Arabidopsis thaliana: one gene and its partner. The protein of the gene in region 1 interacts with the protein of each later gene in a pairwise test. Each region holds a gene or a part of one and is shown on either strand. Other genes may lie near its edges. The genes, in order: AT4G35905 and AT1G22800.

What was found.
Region 2: the proteins of AT4G35905 (region 1) and AT1G22800 interact in a two-hybrid assay, tested with the Arabidopsis thaliana proteins (one large-scale study listed by BioGRID).

What each region holds. Positions count from the first base shown.
Region 1 is NC_003075.7:17,000,472-17,013,038, reverse strand, and holds AT4G35905 (Trm112p-like protein), read left to right. Parts: upstream 1-4,772; 5' UTR 4,773-4,971; coding exon 4,972-5,072; intron 5,073-5,164; coding exon 5,165-5,219; intron 5,220-5,677; coding exon 5,678-5,755; 3' UTR 5,756-6,398; downstream 6,399-12,567. Other genes in the region: MCA1 (PLAC8 family protein), read left to right, coding at 1-33, 164-235, 343-449, 704-797, 881-933; AT4G35910 (Adenine nucleotide alpha hydrolases-like superfamily protein), read left to right, coding at 2,025-2,320, 2,403-2,751, 2,845-2,931, 3,207-3,328, 3,430-3,508, 3,609-4,003, 4,174-4,222; FD (Basic-leucine zipper (bZIP) transcription factor family protein), read right to left, coding at 7,087-7,158, 7,373-7,450, 7,586-8,293.
Region 2 is NC_003070.9:8,065,740-8,078,926, forward strand, and holds AT1G22800 (S-adenosyl-L-methionine-dependent methyltransferases superfamily protein), read left to right. Parts: upstream 1-6,049; 5' UTR 6,050-6,280; coding exon 6,281-6,472; intron 6,473-6,567; coding exon 6,568-6,651; intron 6,652-6,765; coding exon 6,766-6,844; intron 6,845-6,923; coding exon 6,924-7,065; intron 7,066-7,176; coding exon 7,177-7,246; intron 7,247-7,345; coding exon 7,346-7,410; intron 7,411-7,509; coding exon 7,510-7,588; intron 7,589-7,668; coding exon 7,669-7,756; intron 7,757-7,856; coding exon 7,857-8,011; intron 8,012-8,186; coding exon 8,187-8,300; 3' UTR 8,301-8,618; downstream 8,619-13,187. Other genes in the region: GI (gigantea protein (GI)), read left to right, coding at 1-390, 503-571, 873-1,091, 1,184-1,276, 1,391-1,708; PFL (Ribosomal protein S13/S18 family), read left to right, coding at 2,251-2,253, 2,438-2,598, 2,864-3,052, 3,319-3,424; AT1G22790 (Low affinity potassium transport system protein), read left to right, coding at 4,532-5,112, 5,484-5,553; AT1G22810 (Integrase-type DNA-binding superfamily protein), read right to left, coding at 8,796-9,230; AT1G22830 (Tetratricopeptide repeat (TPR)-like superfamily protein), read left to right, coding at 11,182-13,187.

The DNA of each region.
Region 1 (12,567 bases):
ACTTACTAGCTTGTTGCTCGGAACCTTCTCTTTGTAAGACCACACTATTTGTTTACAATGTGGCTCCACTTTGTTTTCTCTGTTACATAGATGATTAGCGTTTCACATTCTATACTTCCTTGTTATCTGCAAAGTTCTCAAAGATTCAATGATGGAACCGCAGGCTTCAAGACATTCTTTTTCCCGTGTGGTACTTTGGCAAAGATTGCCACTGCAGCATCCAACAGGCACATCTGTAAGGGATATTATTGAATACCGTGACTTTATTAATTTTCAATCTTTTAGTAATACATGTGAAAGCTAATAAGTCAACTGGATTTTTTTTAATTTTCGCTCTCCCAGCTTCAGCTGAAGCATGTAATGAGCTAATGGCGTATTCTTTGATACTTTCTTGTTGCTGCTATACTTGTTGCGTGAGGAGGAAACTCCGGAAGACACTGAACATCACGGTATTACATTCTCATTCTCTTCCACTCGCTTGAATCCTTACCATTAATCCCATTTGATCCCAAAAATCTATATGCTTCCGAGAAAATTTCTATCATTTGCATACCATAAACAACAAATGAAATTTCGGTTAAAGATTAAGTAGACACCTGCAAAAAAATTCAGTAGTAACTATCATGGTTGAGATTGAAATGGCTATGTTTATGCCACTCAATGTAGAGTCGGAATGAATGCTTAATGTTTTCTGATTTCGCAGGGAGGATTCATTGACGATTTTCTATCTCATGTAATGTGTTGTTGCTGTGCCCTTGTACAAGAACTGAGAGAAGTTGAGATTCGTGGGGCATATGGTATGATTTACATACAAACATATTATCAATATTTGTTTCAATCTTGAAGCACTAACAAAGATCTGTCTCTCATATCTTTGCAGGTACGGAGAAGACGAAAATAAGCCCGCCTTCGTCGCAGTTCATGGAACATTGAAATCTTCTATTATACAAAAGGTGAACAAAAACAACGATTTGTTGTAACTCTGGATACGAGACGAGATTCTTCTTCGTACTACTCACTTAATATTATTGTGTTAAATCGTGGAGTCGTATGTAAATTAGTTTGGGATTCTCATCTTAATTTCAGCAATTTGTGTTGTGTGTATCACATATAGACTAACTAATTCTTATTTCAACCTTTTATCACAAGATAGGGTATTAGGTTTACCGGATGGCCAATTGAACCAAACTTGTGTTTTGGGTCAAAATAGTAGTTTTCTTTTATGAATCAAGGAGAACATATACAATTTGCTGGTGGGTGAATATTAATATTACAATAGCAAATTAAGGAAAATTCTTTGAAGAAGAAAAGAGATGAAGAAATGCATGTGAGGTATCATTACCATGACTAAAAAGCCTAAAACATTGACAAAATTGATATGACTGATGATGATTCTCTTCTATTGCTCCCAAATTGGACAAAACTTGTCGGTTCCTTTTAATGGATGGTTACATGTTTACGGTTTAGCATCTTTTAAATACTTATCAAACCATAATTTCTTTACTAATCGTCTCACCGGTATGGGTAGACTCGTAAATAACCACTTTCATCTTCTTCCCCAATTTTTCTTGCTTTCTCTAAACCCTAGTTTCAGACAAAGTAGTGACATTTTTCTAACAATTAAACCAATATCGCCGTAGTCAACCACCGCATAACGTTTTGGCGCCGCCTGAGGCTGACCTGGGGCTGCTAAAGATTTTATCGCGACGACTCTCTTTCTCTCTCAAACTGGTAACTAATCACTTATTTGCTTGTTTCGATTTTGAATGTGCACACATCGCTATCTATTCAATATATTCGCTTTATAGCAAGACTTAGCAATATACAGTGTAATAGGATTGATTATATACTGATTGAGTAAAAAAGACTAATGATTTCGTTTAGAGTAACAATCTCTTAATTATCTCGTTAATGGCGGAAAGTAGTTAAGTCTCGTGAATTAGATGTTGATAGCATTGTCTACTCCTTTGTGTTGTAATTCCTAATCTAAATTTTCCACAGTTTCAGCTGCTTGCGAATTGGAAATGGCTTGTAATTCCTCAGGCTGTGAGTCAGGTTGCTATGACCGTGAGAAAGATAATGGAAGTAAGATAGTGGATGATGCAGTATCTGGTGGCGGTAATCATGAGAGTGTCTGCGTCAAGTGTAAATGCAATGCGCCTATGACATTTGGTGACGGTGGCTTCGACGATGGAAGATTCTGCGCAGATTGTTTTAGGAACAATGTCTTTGGGAAATTCCGTCTTGCTGTTACTTCTCATGCTATGATCACTCCTTCAGATAACGTCCTTGTTGCTTTCTCTGGCGGATCATCTTCCAGGTTTTGCTCTCTTTTTTTCCTTTAGTTTCTGTTTTTTGATATGTTATTGATTGGTGTCTAAACGTAGCAAGTATGATGTTAGGGTTTCTCTTCAATTTGTGCACGAGTTGCAAATCAAGGCTTTGAAGAATTACGAGGCGAGTCGAGATAGATCTTTACCTGTGTTTGGTGTTGGTGTTGCTTTTGTGGATGAAACTGCAGCTTTTCCTGCTCTTTCCACTGAAATGATTGATGCAATTGAGTGGGTTCGATATACTGTCTCGTGTTTGTCTCCACCTGCTAAGGATCTCCATGTTGTTCCAGTCGAAAGCATATTTGGTTCAGACTCTCTTGACGCACGGGATAGACTTCTGAAGCTATTAGATTCTGTTCCTGACGATACTGGAAAAGAAGACCTTCTGCTGCATCTGAAAATGTTATCTTTGCAAAAGGTTTGGACATTATATTGCTTTTGTTTCTGTCTGGGAAAGAAATTCAGATTTGGAAATATCTTTTGTTTAATGTTGTTTGATAAACCTTTTTAGGTTGCCGCTGAAAATGGGTACAATAGATTAGTGTTGGGATCATGCACGTCGAGAATTGCTTCCCATGTTCTTACGGCTACTGTCAAGGTGTGTTGCTTAGTGCCCTGACTTGACTCGTGTTTCCTCTGGCTTAGTTATTCTATAGATTGCATCTTAGAGTGAGAACTTCATGCCAGAAAGCAATCAATGGCTACCTTAAAGAATGTAGATATTTTGGACTTAACCAATTACATCTCTAAAAATTGAAGTTTTGGTGTAAAGATTTTATTTCAGTACACAATGTTTTGTGTACTTTATTTGGACATTCCCTTTAGACTATGTTCTATCAGAATTGTGAGTTGAATTGCTTTTTCTTGAAACAGGGACGAGGTTATTCACTATCAGCAGATATTCAGCATGTTGATGCTAGATGGAAGGTTCCCATTGTACTTCCACTTCGAGATTGTGTTCGACTGGAAATAACTAGACTCTGCCTTTTGGATGGGTTCGTTTATTGGCTGCCTAGTCTACATTGTATTGTTATAGTGAACCTTATTCTTGCATAATCCAACTATTGAGTGACGTCACATATTCTGGGCAGGGCAGACTTAAGACTGTGGAGTTGGCTTGTCGTTCTCAATGCGGAATCAATGATTTGGTGTCTTCATTTGTCGCTCTGTTGCAGGTTCAGATAATGTTCATCTTCTGCATATGTTTAAGTGCATGCATGGTTACCTGTTACTTTGTTTTTACTGATTCATTTGTCTCTGGGTTCTGTTGTGCAGGAAGAAAATCCTTCCCGGGAATGCACAATTGTACGGACAGCTGCGAAGCTGACTCCATTTTACTTCAATAAAATTCCGGAAACAGACGACTCTAATGTACCTATGGCCACTCAGAGGCGCCTAAAGAGATTCAATCTCAAATATGATGGATCAATGACTACTGAAGCTTTCTGTCCTATCTGCAATGGCCCGCTAAATAGATCAGACTCATCAGAGTTGGATACTTTTGAAGAAGGCCAGGAATCTGATGTCCTCTATGCTGCTTGCTGTTCAAGTTGCCGGTTTCAAATACTTCCACAGGATGGATCATCTCTTGAGCAATTCAGTTCATTTCTACCAGATCACATGATTTCCCAAGTGAAACATCAAAAAGTTGATAGTCAAGCTTATCTGAGGTGAGTAGTATGCATTAACTCTGATCTCAAACTTGGATTCCTTTTCCATTCGTTTTACCTACATTATTGGTAGTTCATGTCTCTAGGAAGCATCAGATTTAAAACAACCAAGATCAAGACTGAGTGAAACACTATTTGAGATTCCTAACATTGGTTTCCATTTATTTCAGGGAGAAAATTAAAGACTGTCTGCTCTTGGACGATGAAGAGGTTGTCTAAATCTGCATTCGGATGCTTGCACAAGGTATGAGAGGAAGTTTAAATCCTGTCATGCTTATCAAGGATTATTCCTAGAAACCTAAGATCATCTTAGTTTAATGTCGATCTGATATCATCGTAGATGTTAAAAGTGTTTTTACTCATTCGTTACAATGATTGTCTCAATGTGAAGCAAAATCACTGAGCAATTGAATGAAGCATCTACAGTTTTACACATATAATACAAGAATCATGGGAAGTTTACAATTTGTAACACAAGTAGTAAACTTGTTAGGGGTGATGCGAGAATCAAGTTTTGTAATATTTCTATGCGCAGAATCAGAGATTCAGGAGCATTAATCTAGAGTGCAAGTGATCAACATCTTCCAATAGCTGGATAAGAAATCTGTGTAAATTCTAACCAATGTCCCATAGACATTATAACACGAAGCGCTTAATGTTTGATCAATTTATAAAGTCCGACGGACGAATGGTCAACAAATTAGAATTGAGGGCATCAAACAAGAACTATAAAATATAGAGGCTTATATTTGAAAATTTTCTCCCCTAGCTAGAATAATATATACACATTGAAGGGACCGTTTGTGAAACATAAAAATTGAGGGGCATGGTTGGAAACTTTTAAATTTATAGGGGCGTTTTGCGTTTTTACTCAAAAAGTCCAAAACTATCGCTCAACGCCGGTCGATTCTACCGGAGATCGGAAAAAAGGAAAAAGTCCGGAGAGAGCTAAAGATCAAAGCTTTAGAATGGTGAGACTAAACAGAGTGCTGCTAAAAGACGCCGGCAATGTAATTGACAAGACCCTCTCCGAGATTCTGGTGTGCCCTCTCTCTAAGCAACCTCTGAGGTTCGATTTCTCTCCTTCAAAATGTACATAGCTTAAATTCGATTGGTCCCGAAGAACTTGTTTAAGCAATTTGGTGAATTGATTGCTGATAGGTTTTGCGAGAAGACGAAATCACTTGTCAGCGATACTATTGGTGTCTCTTTTCCTGTAAGCTTCTATCCAAAGCTTTTTGATTTTTTCGATTCAGATGCTTGTGAGCTGTTGAGCTCCATGAAAGTTAGATTTATGGCGCTTATTAACTCTCCAAACAGTGAAATTGTACGAAATCACTATCATATCTGCTTTCAGAATCATGCTCTCTTATTCAGTGAACATGTTCTCAACCCAACTTTGATCTTTTAGGAATTGTCTAATCAAAGATTGAGATGTGTATATATATATAGACTTTGATTCTTTCATTATTCTTCATTTGCTTCATACTAAATAATGTTTAAAATGAATTTATTCTTGGTGTTGATTTGGGATTCACTGATGGAATAATCATATGCTAAAGTGATTGGTCGGCTGTTTTCTTCTTAATGATATTCTTCTTGTTCTTTTTAGATTTCACTTCATGTTCACGATTCAATGTTTAAGACTTGATTTTGCTTCTCTTAACACGCTAGATCAAAGATGGGATTCCATGCTTGGTTCCAAAGGATGGAAAAATACTTGAGGAGGAAGGTGATGCATCAAAAGCTTAATGACTTTTGCTTTTGCACCCAAAAAGAAATAAAATGGTCAGAGTGAAGGTATCAGCTTGTATCTGCAGCAACTTATCAATGGTTCGTTCTGTCCTCTGTACTAGTTACCTGATCATCTCTTCTAAACTCTCTTTTAGGCTTGTGGCCAAGTTCTGGTAGCATTTTTAAGTATGAATGTTTGATGGGAAACATTGATGTAACCAATTGAAAAACATTATAGGTGTGTAGTTTCAGGTGAATAAACCAACTTTTTCGTTTAAAGTTTCTTGAAGTCTAGGATTCTTATTGACTGGAATGAAAGTAGAAGCATGATTTAAAGTATTGGATGCCTATTTGAGGGGCTCTAAGTGTAACCATATAATGTGAGGATAGATTCTAGTCATAGTCCCACTTTTGGTAACTATTCTTCTTTATCTTAATGTCCACTATATTTACACCATATTAGCTCTTGATGTCCACTTTTGGTTGCTTAAAAGAATACACAGCAATATATCAACAACCAAAAGTGGATCAACAAGACTTATCACTGTCAGGTAAATGAAATTGGGCCAAAAGAAGATAAAAACTATTCTCTTGATAAACCAAATGAATACAAACACACCTAGTGTTTTTGATGGTGACCAGTTAGAGCAAAAGCTACAATACTATGTACTATGAATATAAATAAAACGTGGGGAGTGACCATGCTGAATAAGAAACTTATCATGTTCTCTCTTGACCAACCCGAAAAGTGGTGAACTTAATTCCCATTGGCTTGGAGGTTTCAAAATCATATTGCAAGTTGTTGGCTTGTATGGTAGACAGCCAAAGGATTGGATATTTATGTGATAATGTGATAGGGAGAAAATTAAATGTTCAGTGATAGGTCCCCTTCTCACTTTTCTCTGGTATTGTCATCATTTAAGTGGAGCACTGTTTTGTCTATTGGTCATTTGATCCTTTGCTTCTTTTAAGAACCAAATTGGTTAAACAGTAAAACATAAGGTTTTTTTTCTTACTAGTATTAGAAGAGGAAGTAGAACATTACTACAACAAGAATACAAGTAGAAGTTAGTACAGAAGTGAAAAAAGGGTTTGCATAGGAAAACGACAGAACATTAAGAGAGGACCCAGGACAGGTGTTCCTGTGCCTTAGGAAATTGAAAGATCCTTTTCTCTTTCCGGGTCTTTTGTTTTACATCTTCTTTTTTCCCCTACAATATCTTAGTTCTACAATTTTAGGCTTAGTTATACTTATAGCTAATAAAAAAGGGTACAAACTTTTGCCATTTTTTCACTTCTTCATGAGACAATCTCAATCCCCAAAAGAGAAACAAGGACTTGTAGATTTCTCAAAATGGAGCTGTGGAAGACCGTTGAAGTGTGTTCTTTTTGGGTTGCTGAATTGCTGCAGCCATTTTTAACTGCACACACACACACACATAATAAACACACAACTGAAGTATCAGAATCTAACCACCCAAAATGTCATTGGACAAAAAAGTGTGTAAAACAAATATACTCCAGAGGCTGTCTGTCTGTCTCTTTTTATAAGTTGGTTAAACTACAAGGAATTGATCTAATGACATGAGTGCTACAAAAGGGTAAAACATTAAGAACTTGGCTCTGCTTGTTTACCTGATCTTGTTGTCTCTTGAGTCTTGCATTTTCTGCCTGCAAGTGAGCAACTTCAAGTTCTAACTCGTTTGTATAAGCCTGCAAATGAGAATCAAAACCAAGAGACCTTTTTTTAGATCAAAAGCAATTTGATGGCAAAACCACATTTCTTTTCTTCCCTTTTTGATACACATGAGTAGAAGAAGATTAGGAGGGAAGAGGAGAGGCACATTCCTGTTTCCTAGCGCGGGAACGAGCTGCAGATTCTCTGTTCTTGATCATACGCTTATGTCTTCTATTCCCTGAACCTTCATTGGAATCTTGGCCTCTTTTCTTACCAAAAGAACTGGATGGAACCAGAGCCTCGAAAGAGGTGTTGAAGGCATGAGCGTTTGAGAGGTGATGGTGGGTATGAAGATTAGAGTTTGAGGTAACAAGAGGATCTTGGTTATCGAGAAACTCGAAGCCAGCGCCGGAATTCAAGCTCAGAACAGTTGCAGGAGGTGGAAAAGGAGAGCTGTAAAGAACAGTGACCGTGGTGGAATCGCCATTAGGCGCAGAACCCGTGGTCTGGCTTGTGGGTGCTGGTTCCTGGTTCAAAGATCCTTTGAGAAAATCTTGGAAGATTGAGTTAGGGTTTTGGTTGTGGTGGTTTTGGCCCCTGAACCTTGGCTCGTGGTTGTGTTGTGGATGAGGGCTGTGTCGGTTTAGGTGGTGGATGGAAGCAAGGTTGATGTCATTCCAAACTTCTTCCATGGTGACAAGAGATCTCTTCTGGGCTTGAGAGTCTTGAGAAGGTAAAGGAGATGATGATGAGGTTGATGATGATGAAGAAGAAGACGATGGTGATGAGGATGAAATGGAAGAAACTTTGGTGAGAGTCTGGTTCTTGTTTGTAGCAGAGAGTCTATGGTTTCTCTGATGCTTAGCTGATGACAACATTGGAAAAGAGAACAGAAGTGAACCAACAACACAGCTTTAGTCTTTGGTTGTCAATTGTCTAGTAGTATCCTACACGCAGAGAGGGAGTAGAGAGAGAAAGTGGTGAGAGCTCAGAGAGAGGTTCTTGACTTTAGCCGGTCATTTCTGGAATGATGGGGTTGGGTCCAAGACTCCAGAAGAAGAGACAGAGGGATTGAACTATTTCCAATTAAATAATATATTTCAAGAAGAAGAAGAGAAATTCCATAAACTATTATATGTAATTAAAGGTGTTTGTTGATGTCTTCAACGTCAGAGTTATTATAAAGATTAAAAATGGTGTTTGATTATTTCAAAAGTGAAGTATTTTTCATCATCCTTAAATGTAAAGAGTGAGTGGGGGTGAGATGCTTGTAAAAAGCCAGGCAAATATATAAAATTATTTTTGGTTTTATCTCACTTTCTATTTTCTAATATCAAATCCCTTTGGATCACTTTCAACTTTCATGTGTGACTTTAATTTTTGTTCTTGCTCTTAGATTTAAGGAAAATTTGCCAAAATACACTTTTTTCCCCTAAGGGTATTGACGAAATAAAACATTAAAAACAAAATGAAAGTAGATAAGAATATATACATCTTTCTGTATTAGAAATAATTAAATAAATTCGTTTAAATATATAATAAAACACAAAATCCTAACTACTATACCAATAAACTCAAATGTAAAAATTTCTTCTGTTTTTTTTTTGTTTTTGGCAGCAAACATTAATTCCGTTAGAATATTTCATTCCTCTTTTCTTGATGTGGTTAATATATTTTAAACGAAGATAGAATAATATTATCGAATATAAAAAGTAGTACTTGGGTGTTCGTATATGTAATTTGTTTCTATCAAAACTAAAAGTCTGAAAATTATATGTTTGATTAGTACAAAAAAACTTTATTTTATATGAGATTCGGAGTGTTTAAGAACGGGTCATTTGCACTTAACGTTTTCTTAAATATGTAGTTGCAAACATTTCAAATAATATCGACCGTATAGTTGAAATGCATTTAAATAACAAAAATATTGTTAACTATTGAATTGTTCCCCACTTCAAATCATTGGTGTTCATGTCATCCAACGAGATTTGATCAAAGTGTCAATAGTCTGTTTTACAATACGGATAGGGAAATCAATTTATGTGGGTCTCCAACTCTGAACAAAACAAACATTACAAGTGGATAGTAAAGTATTAGATTTTATATGACCAATATAGTTTAGATATTTATGTTGATTGTTTTGAAGATTAGAGACGAATACTAAACTAGTTAATAATTAAGCCAAGTAGAAGATGATACATATTAATAAATCTTTGATCATACGTAATAAACAAATAATATGAGTACCATCCAGATATCTAGATATTCGATTATCGTATCTACTATGTAAGTCAGTCTCCAAGTGCATATCTAGTCACGCTTTTCAAATTTTTCCTTTATTGCAAGTTGATTATATATAAACTATAATAACATACGATATTTGTTTTTCTTTCCTCTTCTCTTATTCTATTCAACAAGATTAACTATTCATTTCCGTACATGTATATAATTTTTTTTCTCTGAATGTTGAAATCAGCCCTCAAGGAAACGTCCCATCTTTTGAACATGCAAAGAGTACTACATTAGGAGCTGTTTATCGAAAATGCAAGCTCCTCAAATACTCATATTTGTTAGAAGATATATATTTTCCATTTGTTGGTGAAAAGTACAAAGACTTTAATTTGTTTACATGTTTCCAAACATTGGGTTTCAAAATACATTTTGAGTTTTTAATGTGAAACACAAATTTCATAGATCTTTGTTGTCGTTTCGCAACCACCAAAAATTCGAATGTAAAGAGTAGTACTTTTGTTAGTATCGACGTCACTACGCATATTCATTGACGAAAATAAAACAAATTTTCCCAGTCTCAAATCATTTTTGCAAAATAAACTCAAAATAAAGTTGGGGTATAGTCTGTAACGAGTGAATTCAAATGTCCATTGTATCATAAAATTGTGCAGAGAACTTGTAAGTTGTATAAGAAAGGAGTGTGACATGTCACGTCTCAGGGGATTGGACAGGTGTCAGCACTATATTGCTCTGTCCCAAACTCCATCAAATCTATTTCTCTGTCTTTTAATATCCTCTTTAGTTTACTTTTAAACAATGCATATAAATGGAAACAAATTCTGTTTTAGCAAGTTATATAAAATTTTCCGGACTATCATACAACATGAAATATGCCTACCAAAAGTAGTAAGTGCAAAATAATTCATTGTTTTATATATCTCGATTTCCTACAATTATAAAACATTGTTTGGTGGTGAAGAAATAAAATACTAATTACATCTCTATATATTTAGAGACGTAAAAGGGTTTAAGATAGACTCGTTGGCTTGAAAAAAGACTCGAACTCGGTGGACAAGTGATTTGATTTGATGAAGAGACAAATCTCAACTTGTTTTTAATTATTCATGTTCGTTTACATTCAAATTTATAATCCAACGAACAATATGAATGACCCGTGAGTTCAATAACCGTTGGATTCTGTAAGTCTACTGGTATGTACAATCATCATCTGTCCGTAGGTTGTCTCTAGACCGTACGGAAGCAAAGTAGACGTAATAATTTACTGCTAAAATTAGCAATAAAAATAAATAAAGGAAAAAACTTGGAGTTGAAAGAGCCAAAAGAATGCTAACCGTTGGATAGTCAAGATGGGTGGGATTGTGTACTTGACATCTCCAAAATGGTAAGAATAATTGAGACAACTTTCTATATTTTTGGTGTGTTTTGTGAATTAGGGTTTACTATTTTCTTAGTCTATCAAGAATAGTTCTGATTTTTTGTTTCGCATGGATTGTGACATTGAACCTATTCTTGGGCCGTTTCTGATTATTTTCCACATTTGGGTGAACATATAGAATATTCTGATATTATGTGAGTGTTTAATTAGATATAATTATGACTAAATCAAGTAGAGAGGGCCTTGGATAACTAGATCGTCTTAGACTTTTAGGTGTAGAAAAGTCAGCTTTCATTATTACGAGAGATCTACATTATACTGTTATTACGTTAAGCTTAATTCGCTGCAATAATGTAAAACATTTATGAGAAATAAGTAAGTACCTAACTAGTCAAAAAGTGAACCAAATAATTTCAATATGAATTAACACACATGTGAAAACTGATGATAACAAAGGGAAAATTTCACGGTTAAAACGCTATACACACTATGAATTATTTATAACTTTTGAATAGACACATTAACCTTTTTGCTACATTGTATTTAAACTTATGTATGAAGTTGTGTTATTTTATTTTTATAAAACATAGAATCCATGCTATTTATAAACTATCATACTTACGAAATGCCTTATAAGACACATTAACCTTTTTGCTGTTTTGGTAAGTTAGTGTTTAAATAATCTTGTAACATACGAAATGCCTTAGGCTGATTTTGCAAATAAAAATAAAAATACAGTTATTTCTTGATCGAACTGAAAAATACAAGAACAGTTATTTAATGTTATTACTTTTAAATTCTTAATTACATAGCGACTCTCCAATTTTTGTATTTTTTTAAATGGTTTACTGTTCCATTCAAAATCATACACAACATAACACAGCAGTACAATGCCAGCCAGTAGAGCGTTAAAGCACGTGTTTGCTTCATGTTCACAGCAAAGCAAACCACAAGACGCTGCCGTTTTTGTACATGTTTTTGGCGTGTTACTTGTTCGTCTTACAATGTTAGGTATAGAAATTCAAATAAAGGTACACTTTGTTTTTTTCTCACACCGACGAAGTTGCTAAGGTATAAGAGACTCACAAGTCTTTCTCTCAAGTAAAGTTTCTTTTTGCTTGAAGAATTAGAAGAGATTCACGAGTCTACTCCTCTTATTTTAACTCTCTCAAACCCATAAAAACAATCGAAATATTGAAATCCAGAACAGAACAAAAAAACAGTAACAGGGGTTATAAGAGAGTATTAGCAAGCAAAACCAATAAATCCCAGACCATAACAATGGCTACAAGCAACCATAATAATGATCATAGCATATGTAGCATAAACATAAAAAAAAGTTATTAGCATCCAAAAATAACCAAAAAAAAAAAGAACCCATAAATATGCCAAAGTTTCCGCTAGCTAGAAGAATCACAAATGTTTGATCCTTTTTTTTTTTTTTTCATATGCGTCTCTTCTCTTTATGCTTTTATCTCTTTTCTTTCTTTTTTGATTCCCCTTCATTATTGTTTTCCTCATTTT
Region 2 (13,187 bases), on another chromosome or scaffold:
AAGGATTCTGTGACCTGTTTAAACTGGAAACAAGAGAACACATGTGCAAGCACCACATGCTTTGATACAGCGGTGACATCCGCCTCAAGGACTGAAATGAATCCAAGAGGAAACCATAAGTATGCTAGACATTCAGATGAAGGCTCAGGGAGACCCTCAGAGAAGGGTATCAAAGATTTCCTCTTGGATGCTTCTGATCTTGCGAATTTCCTCACAGCTGATAGACTCGCAGGGTTCTATTGTGGTACACAAAAGCTTTTGAGGTCAGTGCTTGCAGAGAAACCGGAGCTGTCTTTCTCCGTTGTTTCACTGTTATGGCACAAACTGATTGCTGCTCCTGAAATCCAGCCCACCGCAGAAAGCACCTCTGCGCAACAAGGATGGAGACAGGTAAACCTCAGCACTTCTATTTCCCAGCTCGCTTACAGTTTCCTTGGTAGTTCTTTACTAATCCAATTAAGTCGCTCGACTTCATACACTGATCATATTTTTTATATATCAGGTTGTTGATGCGCTATGCAATGTCGTATCTGCAACGCCAGCGAAAGCAGCAGCAGCAGTTGTCCTTCAGGTCCAAATTACTCTTTGACTTTTTATTTCATTTGTCAGGAATGCAACACCTGTGTAAAGATTAAACTGCGGAAAACCTATGGCCTGTGTTAATGTTTTATAATGCTTGGTTCACTCATTTGATCTCTCATGAATTTATAAAAATTAAGCTTGGAATTTATATGCAACACTTGTTTTAATATGCCAAGGATAGGAAATAAGGAAGAAAAAATCTGTGTAAAATAATGGCTTGTTTCAAGCTCATATGTTGAAGGATTTACTCTAATGCTCTATTGTCTGAAATGGTCTTGTGTTATTTACAGGCTGAAAGGGAGTTGCAGCCTTGGATCGCCAAAGATGATGAAGAAGGCCAAAAAATGTGGAAAATCAACCAACGGATAGTCAAAGTGTTGGTGGAACTCATGCGCAATCATGACAGGCCTGAGTCACTGGTGATTCTCGCAAGTGCATCAGATCTTCTTCTGCGGGCAACTGATGGAATGCTTGTTGATGGAGAAGCTTGTACATTACCTCAACTTGAGGTACTGCACTGTTATAGATTGCTCTTCAATGCCCTTCTTCGGGCTAGAGTAATAATCATTTTCTGATTCCACTGTATTTTAAACTTTTGCAGCTACTTGAAGCCACGGCAAGAGCAATACAGCCGGTGCTAGCTTGGGGGCCATCTGGACTAGCAGTGGTCGACGGTTTATCCAATCTATTGAAGGTAAAAGCAGAATCGAACAGAGCCTATGGTTTCCTGCGTCGATTGTAGATGATCAGTAGTAGGTCCAGTTACCAAAGTGCTTAACCTTGTTCACATCTTTTTGCTTCTATGCAGTGTCGTCTACCAGCAACAATACGGTGCCTTTCACACCCAAGTGCACACGTACGTGCCTTAAGCACGTCAGTACTACGTGATATCATGAACCAAAGCTCCATACCCATCAAAGTAACTCCAAAACTGCCAACAACAGAGAAGAACGGAATGAATAGTCCGTCCTATCGATTCTTCAACGCCGCCTCAATAGACTGGAAAGCCGATATCCAAAACTGTTTAAACTGGGAAGCTCACAGCTTGCTCTCCACAACTATGCCTACTCAGTTTCTCGACACTGCGGCTCGGGAACTCGGCTGTACTATATCCTTGTCCCAATAACGAGCACCCACTTTTGTTTTTGGTAAATTTTAGTTCTCTAGACAAAACATTTGGACGTAGACCAAGAAGAATATATATATAGTTTGTTGTATGTAATGTTGTAATGATGAGTGACTGACGCAATCACTCCCACCGGCGTTGGATTTGCTCTCGCTCGGTGTCTTATATAACTCAACCTCTTCTCTGTACATTTTAAATGACGAAGTAGCTCAATCTTTTTTTTTGTGCGTCTGGTGTTTAGTCTTCAGTGGATTCTAAATCGTAATGTATAGAAGTGAAAAATTTACAAATTTACTTATTTCCGAATACTCTTAAAACAGCAAAAATTAATATTGCAAAAGATAATTTATAGTATTTTAATCTTTTTCCTCCAAAAAAAACATTAAAGGGTAAATTAGTAATTAACTACAGGAGCTTCATATTAGGTTGGAAAACCCTAAATATGCCGCTTATAACAGACCTGAGCTTAAGCTGTGGTGGCGCCTCCAGAGTCTGGTAAAAGAGCTTAATCCTCCTCTCGCGATCTTTCTCGGCATCCAAAAATGGTACGATTATCGTTCTTCAACTCTTGTCTGGTTCTCCAATTGCTCGTGCTTCATTTTGCGTATCGCTCGTTTTTCATTGCTGGTTTTGGGATTGGAGTTTTAAGCTCAAATGTTTTTTGTATTCCCTTACACGATTTGCGACTGACGGATCTGTTTTTTTTTTTTCGTATTCGTGTGTGTGTAGTCTCTAGTTGCGAACGAGGAGTTTCAGCATATTCTGCGTGTGCTCAATACTAATGTCGATGGGAAGCAAAAAATTATGTTTGCTTTGACCTCAATCAAGGGTATTGGAAGGCGATTGGCTAACATTGTGTGCAAGAAGGCTGATGTTGACATGAACAAGAGGTTTGTTTCTTAGCTTGGTTCTTAATACTTTCAGTTACTTAGGAATTCTATGGATAAGGATTATGAATCTTGCGAGGTTTTGGATGTTAGTAGAAAATGTAGCTCTTTGACTAGAATTGTACCTGCTCGATCTGGTTTGATTGATTTCTAGGAAATCAGATATTTAGGTTTTCTTTGCACATAGAACTTCTCTAGATTGATATTCTTGAAGAAGTTTGGTCTAGTGTGTGTTTTTAAATGTTTTTTCCTTTGCTGGTATATTCAGGGCTGGAGAACTAAGTGCTGCTGAGATTGATAACCTCATGACAATCGTTGCTAACCCTCGCCAGTTCAAGATCCCAGACTGGTTTCTTAACAGACAAAAGGATTACAAGGATGGGAAATACTCCCAAGTTGTTTCCAATGCTCTTGACATGAAGTTGAGAGATGATCTTGAGCGTCTCAAGAAGATCAGGTAACAAACAACACATACAGACACTCTCCTCTGTAGTTTTTAGATACCATGTTAATAGTATAATGATGCCCATCATAACTTTCTATATGGAAGAAGCTAAGTACACAACTCTTGTGTTAAATCATGTATACACTCATTTTCGGCAACAAAACCTAATCTGTAGTGTAATGATTTACTGATGCATCCTTTGTTTCTCTCTTGTTGTTCTGATAATCGATATAGAACTTTGTTTGTACTGACTGAGATTGTCACTGTAATGTAAACAGAAACCATCGTGGTCTGAGGCACTACTGGGGTCTCCGTGTACGTGGACAGCACACCAAAACCACCGGACGCCGTGGAAAGACTGTTGGTGTTTCCAAGAAGCGTTAAAAAGAGTTTGAGCTTGGTTCAATGGCTTTGTTTTGTTTTTTTTGTATTGTTGTTTTTTGCAGAAGAGATAGTTTAAGAGATGTTGTTTCATCAAAAGACGGTCTTAGCTTTTACAATATATAATTGAATCCAAAAACTAGTCTCTATTTATTACATTCTCTTCTCTCAAAATCTGCTTTAAACAAAGTTAATAATAGCACACTCCTCCATACGCAAGAATTATATAATTAGAGAAAACTTTTAAGTGTCACAAGCGGCTGTCTCTATAATGCGCAAATACATCGTTATCAGTTTTAATCACTATCAGTAACTTTACTGAACTTAATTGATCATTTTAATTTTTCATGTTACTCTCTCCTTCTTCTTCACTTGTTCTCTTTCTCATCGCCTCTTGATTCACGCGAACGAGAAAGCGACGATCGTAACCACCGGCGCTGACCAAAAAGTAATCGATTCTCTTCCCGAGCTGATCTCTCAGGTGCGTGAATTCACTTTTTTTTTTTTCGATTTTTCCCGAGAAAAAAATCCAGCAAAGAGTAGTAGCGATGAAGAAGACGAGGTTTGAATTGAGATTCGTATTCTTTCGGTGGCTTGAAGTAGCTTATGCATGTTTAAACTCTTGTTCAGTTGTTTGCTCATGATTCGAAAATGGCTTTGTAGATCTTCTAATATAATCTCTTCTCTTTATCAATTCACTAGTGTTCTATATCTGAAGAAATTTACGGCTACAGATCCAATCTCATTTCGTTTCGTTACACTATCTCTACTAAGATTTTGTTTTTTGTTTTTTTTCCCTCTTTTTTTGCGTTTTAGATCTCCTCCATGATTGAAGTTGATCCATGCTTTTGAGTTTAAGTGATTTATTTAAGATCCTCTAAACTTTTTTTTCTTCACTTAGTGGTGGTTCCAGTCAATTTAGCAAGTAAGATGTTGTATGTGTCAATGCTATAACTGTGAATTTTCAGCTATTGTAGTTTGATTTTTGTCTTTGTTAGCTTCAGGTGTCTTGAATCTGAATCTGTGGCTATATTTGGTGCTCGGTGGTGAGCAGGAAGGGAGGGGGATATTGTCAGGGTTTTAATGTACGTCAGATGAATAGAGCAACTAATGTTACTGGCAGTAGAAGGAGGGGGTTTATTCTCAGCGTCCGCGTCTGGGTATAGTAAGGGATTGACCCTTCTTTTCTCTGGTGATAAAGACGTAGATAGGCCCATGAGAGTTGTCCCGTGGAATCACTACCAGGTGGTTGACCAAGAGCCTGAGGCTGACCCTGTTCTTCAGCTGGATTCTATTAAGAACCGAGTTTCCCGCGGTTGCGCTGCTTCCTTCAGTTGTTTTGGTGGCGCTTCCGCGGGACTTGAGACCCCTTCTCCTCTTAAAGTTGAACCTGTGCAGCAGCAGCATCGTGAAATATCATCACCAGAGTCTGTTGTTGTTGTTTCTGAAAAGGGTAAAGACCAAATAAGTGAAGCTGATAATGGCAGCAGCAAAGAAGCTTTCAAACTCTCGTTGAGGAGTAGCTTGAAGAGGCCCTCTGTTGCGGAATCACGCTCTCTAGAAGATATAAAAGAATACGAGACGTTGAGTGTGGATGGTAGCGATCTCACTGGTGACATGGCAAGGCGGAAAGTTCAGTGGCCTGATGCTTGTGGTAGTGAACTCACTCAAGTTAGAGAATTTGAGCCGAGGTACGTGTGATATGTTTTCCTCTTATTGAGTTGCTTAAATCCCAATACGAGTTAATTTAAGTAGATCCATTGTTTTATGCCAATAGGATCCTTGTTGTGAATCTTGAGCTTGTATAATTAGATCCATTGTTTTATGCAAATAGGAATGTTAGTCTTGAGCTTTAACCCCTATTGCTCAAAATGGATATCCTTTAATTCATTTAGATTTCAGAGTTTCACATGTGCGTAGTGCCCGGCAAACTCACTACATATATATATTCTTTGTTACACATCATGGTTTTGTAGAGACATTTAGCTGTGTTTCCTTTTCTTTGTGATCCTCCCACGGTTTGTTATTAACTTCCAAGAAACAAACTTGATTTTGGTTGCAGTGAGATGGGATTATCAGATGAAGAATGGGAGGTAGGACGACAAAGAACATGTTCGTGTGTGATCATGTAAATTCAGAAATCATCGGTATCACTCTTTACTCATGTCTTGTGTGCATTGCTCATATATTTAAAGTGTATCTGTTATTACAAAAGTTCTCTTCAAGGTTTTGGCTTGTACATTATTCCCTTTGTTTTGAGTGGCAACTTGTTCCGGGTTTCTGTTTTCTAAAAACGATAAGACAACATCCAAATCGATGCAAAGTGGAAGAGAGTGGCAATAACTCTTGTTCTTGTAACGCTCTCAACCACATTACGTACGTGTACAACAAAACTAGAATGCTTATATAACTAGTCCACTAACTGCAAAGCGAATCTGCAATGGTTTCGCAACGATCCACCATGTTCGTTAGTTCTATCGTTCACATTGTCCTTAAGGAACTGATCAATCATGTAAACATTTAATGGACTTTACAAAGAATCTTGAGTCCTCTGTTGTATTAATTGTTTACCAATTACCAGCTTCCATAGCGTTTCTGGTTGCAAGTACTTAACCATCTTGGAGGCGTAAACAGTTTTGCCAGAGAAAGTTGATAATCCATCTGATTCTAATGACAACATAGGGGTTAAAACGTAAAATTAAAAACAATAGGGAAACATTATAGAATATAGATAAACTTCAGGGATCAAAATGAAAGAATACAAGACAGAGAAATCTACCGTCTCTTCTTCAAACCAAACCCAGAACCTCCGTCCGACCAATTCCGGTGCAGCTAAGAACCAGAGATAGAGAGATAGAGATGCGGAGGATCAATTCACTGTACGGAAGAATTGGTCTCCTAAAACGAGTACCCGAGAAATCTACGAAGCAAGCTCATACATTTCTCGCATCTCTCTCCTTCTCTACGGAAGGTGCTTATGGCGGTGACGGTGAGTTTCAGCAGAACAGCTCCAAAGTCAAGATCTTTGACCGAGACCTCAAGCGAATACATGTGTAGTGTTCGAATTCATCTTACATTTGCCTCTCTCTCTTATTATTAATCCAGATTTCGAGTTCTTATAATTTGTGTGTTCGATTGATTTGCAGCGTGATCGAGCGGCGTGGCTTTCTCGCCAAAAAAACGATTCTTTTGTTGACGCTGTTGCAGATAATCTACTTGATCGCTTAGAGGTACTCTTTTGTTTGATGCATGCTCGCCATTGAGAGAGCAATTTAGCTTCTCTTGGGGCTAAATTTCTCGATTTCAATCAAGCTTAGTAAATATTGTTTTTGCTCTTTCTTAAGGATTGTAAGAAGAGTTTTCCCACTGCATTTTGTTTGGGAGGATCTCTTGGTGCTGTTAAGAGATTACTACGTGGTCGCGGTTAGTTTATCTCTCTCTTGACTGTTCTGGTTCTGCATTTTGAGTGTTGTTGATGATGATTTTTGGCTTTGTTGCACAGGTGGGATTGAGAAGCTTATCATGATGGATACTTCATATGACATGATTAAGTCATGTAGAGATGCTCAAGACGATTCACTCGATAACTCCATTGAAACCTCTTACTTTGTTGGTGATGAAGAGTTTCTGCCAGTCAAAGAGAGGTAACAAGGACGTTATTGTAAAACCTGTTTTTCTTTGTTTTTTTCCCCTTGCTGCGACTCACTAGAGTTCTATTACCTACTAATATCTTGTCAAATATGTTGTATGTGAAGTTCGGTTGATTTGATCATTAGTTCGTTGGGGCTTCACTGGACAAATGATCTTCCTGGATCCATGATACAGGTTTTCTCGTTTTCGTTGCTTTTTGTTGGTGTATGTGAATTGGTTTGTCCTATGAGAAAATATTTATAATGTGTTGGTTTTGGATTGTAATAACTGCAGTGCAAGCTAGCACTGAAGCCGGATGGCTTATTTTTAGCAGCAATTCTTGGTGGAGAAACCTTAAAGTTTGTCCTCTCTTTCATTTCAAATCAATACTCAATGTAGAGTCTCTTATTCCATATCATGTTTCTGATTAGCCTTTACGTATTGAAATTATTTACAAGGGAGCTGAGAATAGCATGCACTTTGGCTCACATGGAGCGGGAAGGAGGGATTAGTCCTCGGCTATCACCTTTGGCACAGGTGTGTGTGAATATCTTAGCAAGATCAAGTTGATTTCTAGTACTGAGGTGAAAGAACATGGCTTCTCTTTTCTTTTTCAGGTTAGGGACGCAGGGAATCTGTTGACCAGGGCGGGTTTTAGTCTTCCTGGTGTTGATGTTGATGAATATGTAGTTAAATACAAGAGAGGTAAACTGTTCCACTTTTTTCCTACTTCATCGTTTGCAACAACGTGTATCTTCCAAGAATTATTTCTGATTTGCCTTCTCGTTTATATCTTTCTACTCAGCGATGGATCTTATAGAGCATCTTCGTGCGATGGGTGAAACCAATGCTCTTCTCGAGAGAAACAAGATTTTGAATCGTGAAACTGCTGTTGCCACGGCAGCCATATATGACTCCATGTTTGCCACAGAGGACGGCACTATACCCGCTACTTTTCAGGTCTGTCCATAATAGTTCAGAACTAACTCAACAGTGAAAAAAACCCATAACCTAGCTTCATTATTCAAGTTGTTTTGCTACAATCCATGATTAAAACAATTTTATGCTAAATACTACAAGTGAAATTAACAACATTTGAGGCCTAAAGTATATATCGTTTGGCATTCTTGTGTAGGTGATTTACATGACAGGATGGAGAGAACATTCGTCTCACCCGCAGGCCAAACGAAGAGGTTCAGCCACCGTATCCTTCACGGATCTCCAAAAGCAATTTGGCGGACAATCTTGATGGAATGATTGAAGAAGAGAAACATTCAATAAGCAGAGACTTTACAAATGACACTTGAGAGAGAAATCAGTGACTTAAGCTATAAGGTACTTGGAGGAACTCTTGTAGATTTGTCGGAGTCTTTCACTGGGCGAAAGCATCACAATTAGGACGCCTGCTTTCGCCCATGTATTTCGTATCGAATAATAGCTGATCAGAAACATATTTGTATTTTACAAAAATATTACGAATACTTAAAAATCTCAATCTTCAATCACGAAACATGATCTCGCGCTAGGTTTCTTGAATAGATTTGTATACAATGGACCAAACTTCACTAAATCAGTGAAACAAACATTAATCAAAACCTTATAATGTATATTCACAACCATTTGATTGTTTCTCTGTGGTACCTAATCTTGTTTTGAGTAAGATTTTAGCACCACACCTGTTTTGATTATGGTACAAAATCTTACTCAAAAGAAGATCAAACGTGATCATGACCGTCGAGATAAATCAAACGTGATCGTGGCCGCCCAGATAATCATACACTGAAATATTCAACGGCTCCACTTGATCAGCTCCATTCTCGTAATACGTCGTCGTATCTCCGCATCCAGAGTTCACGCTGGTACTGTGGACGATTCCGGCGTCAATGGCCATGCCGGCGTTAGAAGCAGCTTGCTGGATAGATCTCGGAGAAGTTCTGGAAACGAGTGAAGGATTAAGCAAATGAGGGAAATTGAGAGATTCTAAAGAATCAGGTTGGTGTAAACAGAAGAAAGCAACGTCGTGTGCTACGGCGGCACCTTCTGCTGTTGAGAATGAACCTAACCAGAGACGGTCACGAGTTCCCGGAACTCTAATCTCTGATACCCATTTGCCCCATTTCCGACGACGGATTCCTTTGTACTTTGACTGACTTTCACCGGTGGATTCTCTGTAATCCATTTTTTGTTGTTGTATGATGATCGATGTGAAGAAGAAGAAGAAGAAGAAGAGACTTTTGAGTGTTGTTTATGTTTGAATATGAAGATACAAAGACTATTTATACGTTGAAGTTTAGTGAAAGTCAAAATATTATATAATATTTTTTAATATGAATCAAGAATGAGAATGAAGTTGACCAATTATAAAACTAGTTAATTCTCGAGGAAAAAATCAACTGGTCAAAGTATGACCCATTTTTTTAGTGGTACCAATTTGACATGTGCCTGACTAGTCGATTTTTTTTTCTTTCAAGTTGTAACTTTTTTTTTTGCTGTGTCTAACAGTAAATTCAATGTATTTAGAAAGTAAGAGTCATTTCTATAAAACAAGTGGTATATATACCGTTCTGTTTGGTTTCAAAATAAATGATATTTTTTGTTTTTTTAAAATAGAAAATTAATCTTTATTTTTTGTTGTTGTTGCTTTGGTATATCATAGTTAGGTTACCTTAATTTATAGGTTTTTCATTTTTTTTTATATGAAAAAGTCTTAAGTCGAAATCTAGAATTTTATACTACTATATATCCTCTATTTCGTTTCATAAAAATCTGTAAAATAGGTGATGACATAATAGTATAGAGAAAAGCAGTGAAAAACACAAAAGTCGATTCAAACTCCACCGATGAAGAATGTGAAAACGTCGTCGTCGATGGTTAAACCACGTGGGATAAAGAAAGACTTTCTTTGCCTTTTTTGGTTACAAATTGCGTCATGCGTGACATGAGCACCGTCTAAAGGGGGTCCTTTATTTTTGGCATTTGACCAAAGATCTGTAATGACTTAATGATTCTCCACGGACAACACACAGACACAACAGCCCAAACTAACTGGAAAAAGTTATTTTTTGTCTTCTTCTGTGTCTGCTGACTCATGTACATGGTTGTCAAATTTTAGTTCACACACAACCACATCCAAAACACGAATCATCCACGGAGAAACCCAGTCTCATAATGTATTTAATGTGTTTTCATCCTTCGGATGCATAACCAATTCTTTGTAGTTGATACTTGATTAGGTTTTTCTCGACACTGACATTTGGGAGTTGATTGTGATGTGATACACCGTCTTATCATAGTCACCGACTCATTTAGAAGAAACCTCAAAGGTAACTTGGTAAGTTACGATTAGAGATGTTTTTAGAAACGTCTAGCAGATTATTGATATCTGACAATAAATATTCACACCTACTCGGTTGGTCTATGCGATTTTAGACAATTTAAATGTTTATAAAAACCCTAGTGTATCAGTATATATAAAATCAATATTAATGAAATAATGCAATTAATAAATTACTTATTATAAGTTCTTATAAAAAAAATACTAGTGACCTCATTTTGTAATATCAAAAACTGGTGCCAACTTCATCTAACACGATTTATTTAACCTTGGTAATATTTTGAAAAAACCATAAATTTATAAAGTTGTTACAGTCAGATTTTAGTGGGCTAAAATGGGTTACAATTGCAATGGGTCTGGAAGTGGACAAATCTAAACAAGCGGCCCAAATCATCTGAGCACATGCCAGAACATTGAATAAATGTCAAAAAGGAGTCTCTTTCTACATAACCTTCACGCGCGGCTACTCCTACTTTCGCTTCGTCCGGTTCCGTCGATACTGTCTCCGAATCACTGTCTTCTTTCCTTTTTCTTCCTACATGACATCTGTCTTATCTCTTTTATGTTTCTCTAGATGTACTTATACTTCCATGTTTCGTCTGTATACGGTATGTTTCGCTCACCACATGTTCGATGAAATTCCTCAACGAAACTTTTTTTTTATCTTTCTCACCTTTCTTCCTTTGACTTTCAGACGGAGAAGCAAAATTGCTTGAACTTTCGCTTTGATGGATCAAACTAGTCTTGGAACAATAATCAAAATCCATTCGTTGCCATCATATGCAGCTTACTGTATATGCCGTCTTCTCCTTCTCGCTCTATACTCAGAGGTCTCACTGTATCCGAAATTTGCAAGTTTATTCCTCAATCGTGGAAACAGCTGCCGAGACCCATCTCAGAAACTTCCAAAACCCATGATGATGAATCAGTTCCACAAGTGCTTTTCAATTCATTTAGACATTGCATTTCCCATGGTCAATTATATGAAGCTTTCAGAACTTTCTCTCTACTTCGCTACCAGTCTGGTTCTCATGAATTCGTTTTGTATTCATCAGCTTCTCTTCTATCTACATGTGTGGGTTTTAATGAGTTTGTTCCTGGCCAGCAACTTCATGCTCATTGTATCTCGTCGGGTTTGGAGTTTGACTCTGTTTTGGTCCCAAAGTTGGTCACTTTCTACTCTGCTTTTAATCTCCTTGACGAAGCTCAGACCATTACTGAGAACTCTGAGATTTTGCATCCCTTGCCGTGGAATGTGCTCATCGGTTCGTATATTAGGAACAAAAGGTTTCAGGAGTCTGTTTCTGTTTACAAGCGAATGATGAGTAAAGGAATTAGAGCGGATGAATTTACTTACCCGTCTGTTATCAAGGCTTGTGCAGCATTACTGGATTTTGCATATGGGAGAGTTGTTCATGGCTCTATTGAGGTTAGCTCTCACAGGTGTAACTTGTATGTCTGCAACGCGTTGATATCTATGTATAAAAGATTTGGTAAAGTGGATGTTGCTCGGAGATTGTTTGACAGGATGTCTGAAAGGGATGCTGTCTCATGGAATGCAATAATCAACTGTTATACTTCAGAAGAAAAGTTAGGGGAAGCTTTTAAGCTTCTTGATAGAATGTATCTCTCTGGTGTCGAAGCGAGTATTGTAACTTGGAACACAATAGCTGGAGGTTGTTTGGAGGCAGGAAATTACATAGGGGCTTTGAATTGTGTTGTTGGGATGAGAAATTGCAATGTAAGAATAGGTTCTGTAGCTATGATTAATGGTTTAAAGGCATGCTCACACATTGGAGCGTTAAAGTGGGGGAAAGTATTTCATTGCCTTGTGATCCGTAGTTGTAGTTTTTCCCATGATATTGACAATGTTCGGAATTCGTTGATCACAATGTACTCAAGATGCAGTGATCTTAGGCACGCGTTTATAGTGTTTCAGCAGGTTGAAGCAAATAGTTTGAGTACATGGAATTCTATCATTTCCGGTTTTGCATACAACGAGAGATCAGAAGAAACCTCTTTCCTGCTCAAGGAGATGTTGCTCTCTGGATTTCACCCAAATCACATTACGCTTGCTAGCATTCTCCCTCTTTTTGCTCGGGTGGGAAACCTGCAACATGGGAAAGAGTTTCACTGCTACATCCTGAGACGCCAAAGCTACAAGGACTGTTTAATCCTGTGGAACTCCCTTGTCGATATGTATGCAAAATCCGGTGAAATCATAGCTGCAAAGCGAGTATTTGATTCGATGAGGAAGAGGGACAAAGTGACATACACTTCTTTGATCGATGGATATGGCAGGCTGGGTAAAGGAGAAGTCGCATTGGCATGGTTCAAGGATATGGACAGATCCGGTATCAAACCTGATCATGTAACTATGGTTGCAGTTTTATCAGCTTGCAGCCATTCCAATTTAGTGCGTGAAGGACACTGGTTGTTTACGAAGATGGAGCATGTGTTTGGTATACGCCTTCGCCTTGAACACTATTCTTGTATGGTTGATCTTTATTGCAGAGCAGGTTACCTGGATAAAGCCAGAGATATATTCCATACAATACCTTACGAGCCATCAAGTGCTATGTGTGCTACTCTACTGAAAGCGTGCCTCATCCACGGGAACACAAACATTGGGGAGTGGGCTGCAGATAAGTTACTACTAGAAACAAAGCCAGAACACTTAGGTCACTATATGTTGCTTGCAGATATGTATGCAGTAACTGGTTCTTGGAGCAAGCTTGTAACGGTGAAGACTTTACTGAGTGACTTGGGCGTGCAAAAGGCTCATGAGTTTGCTTTGATGGA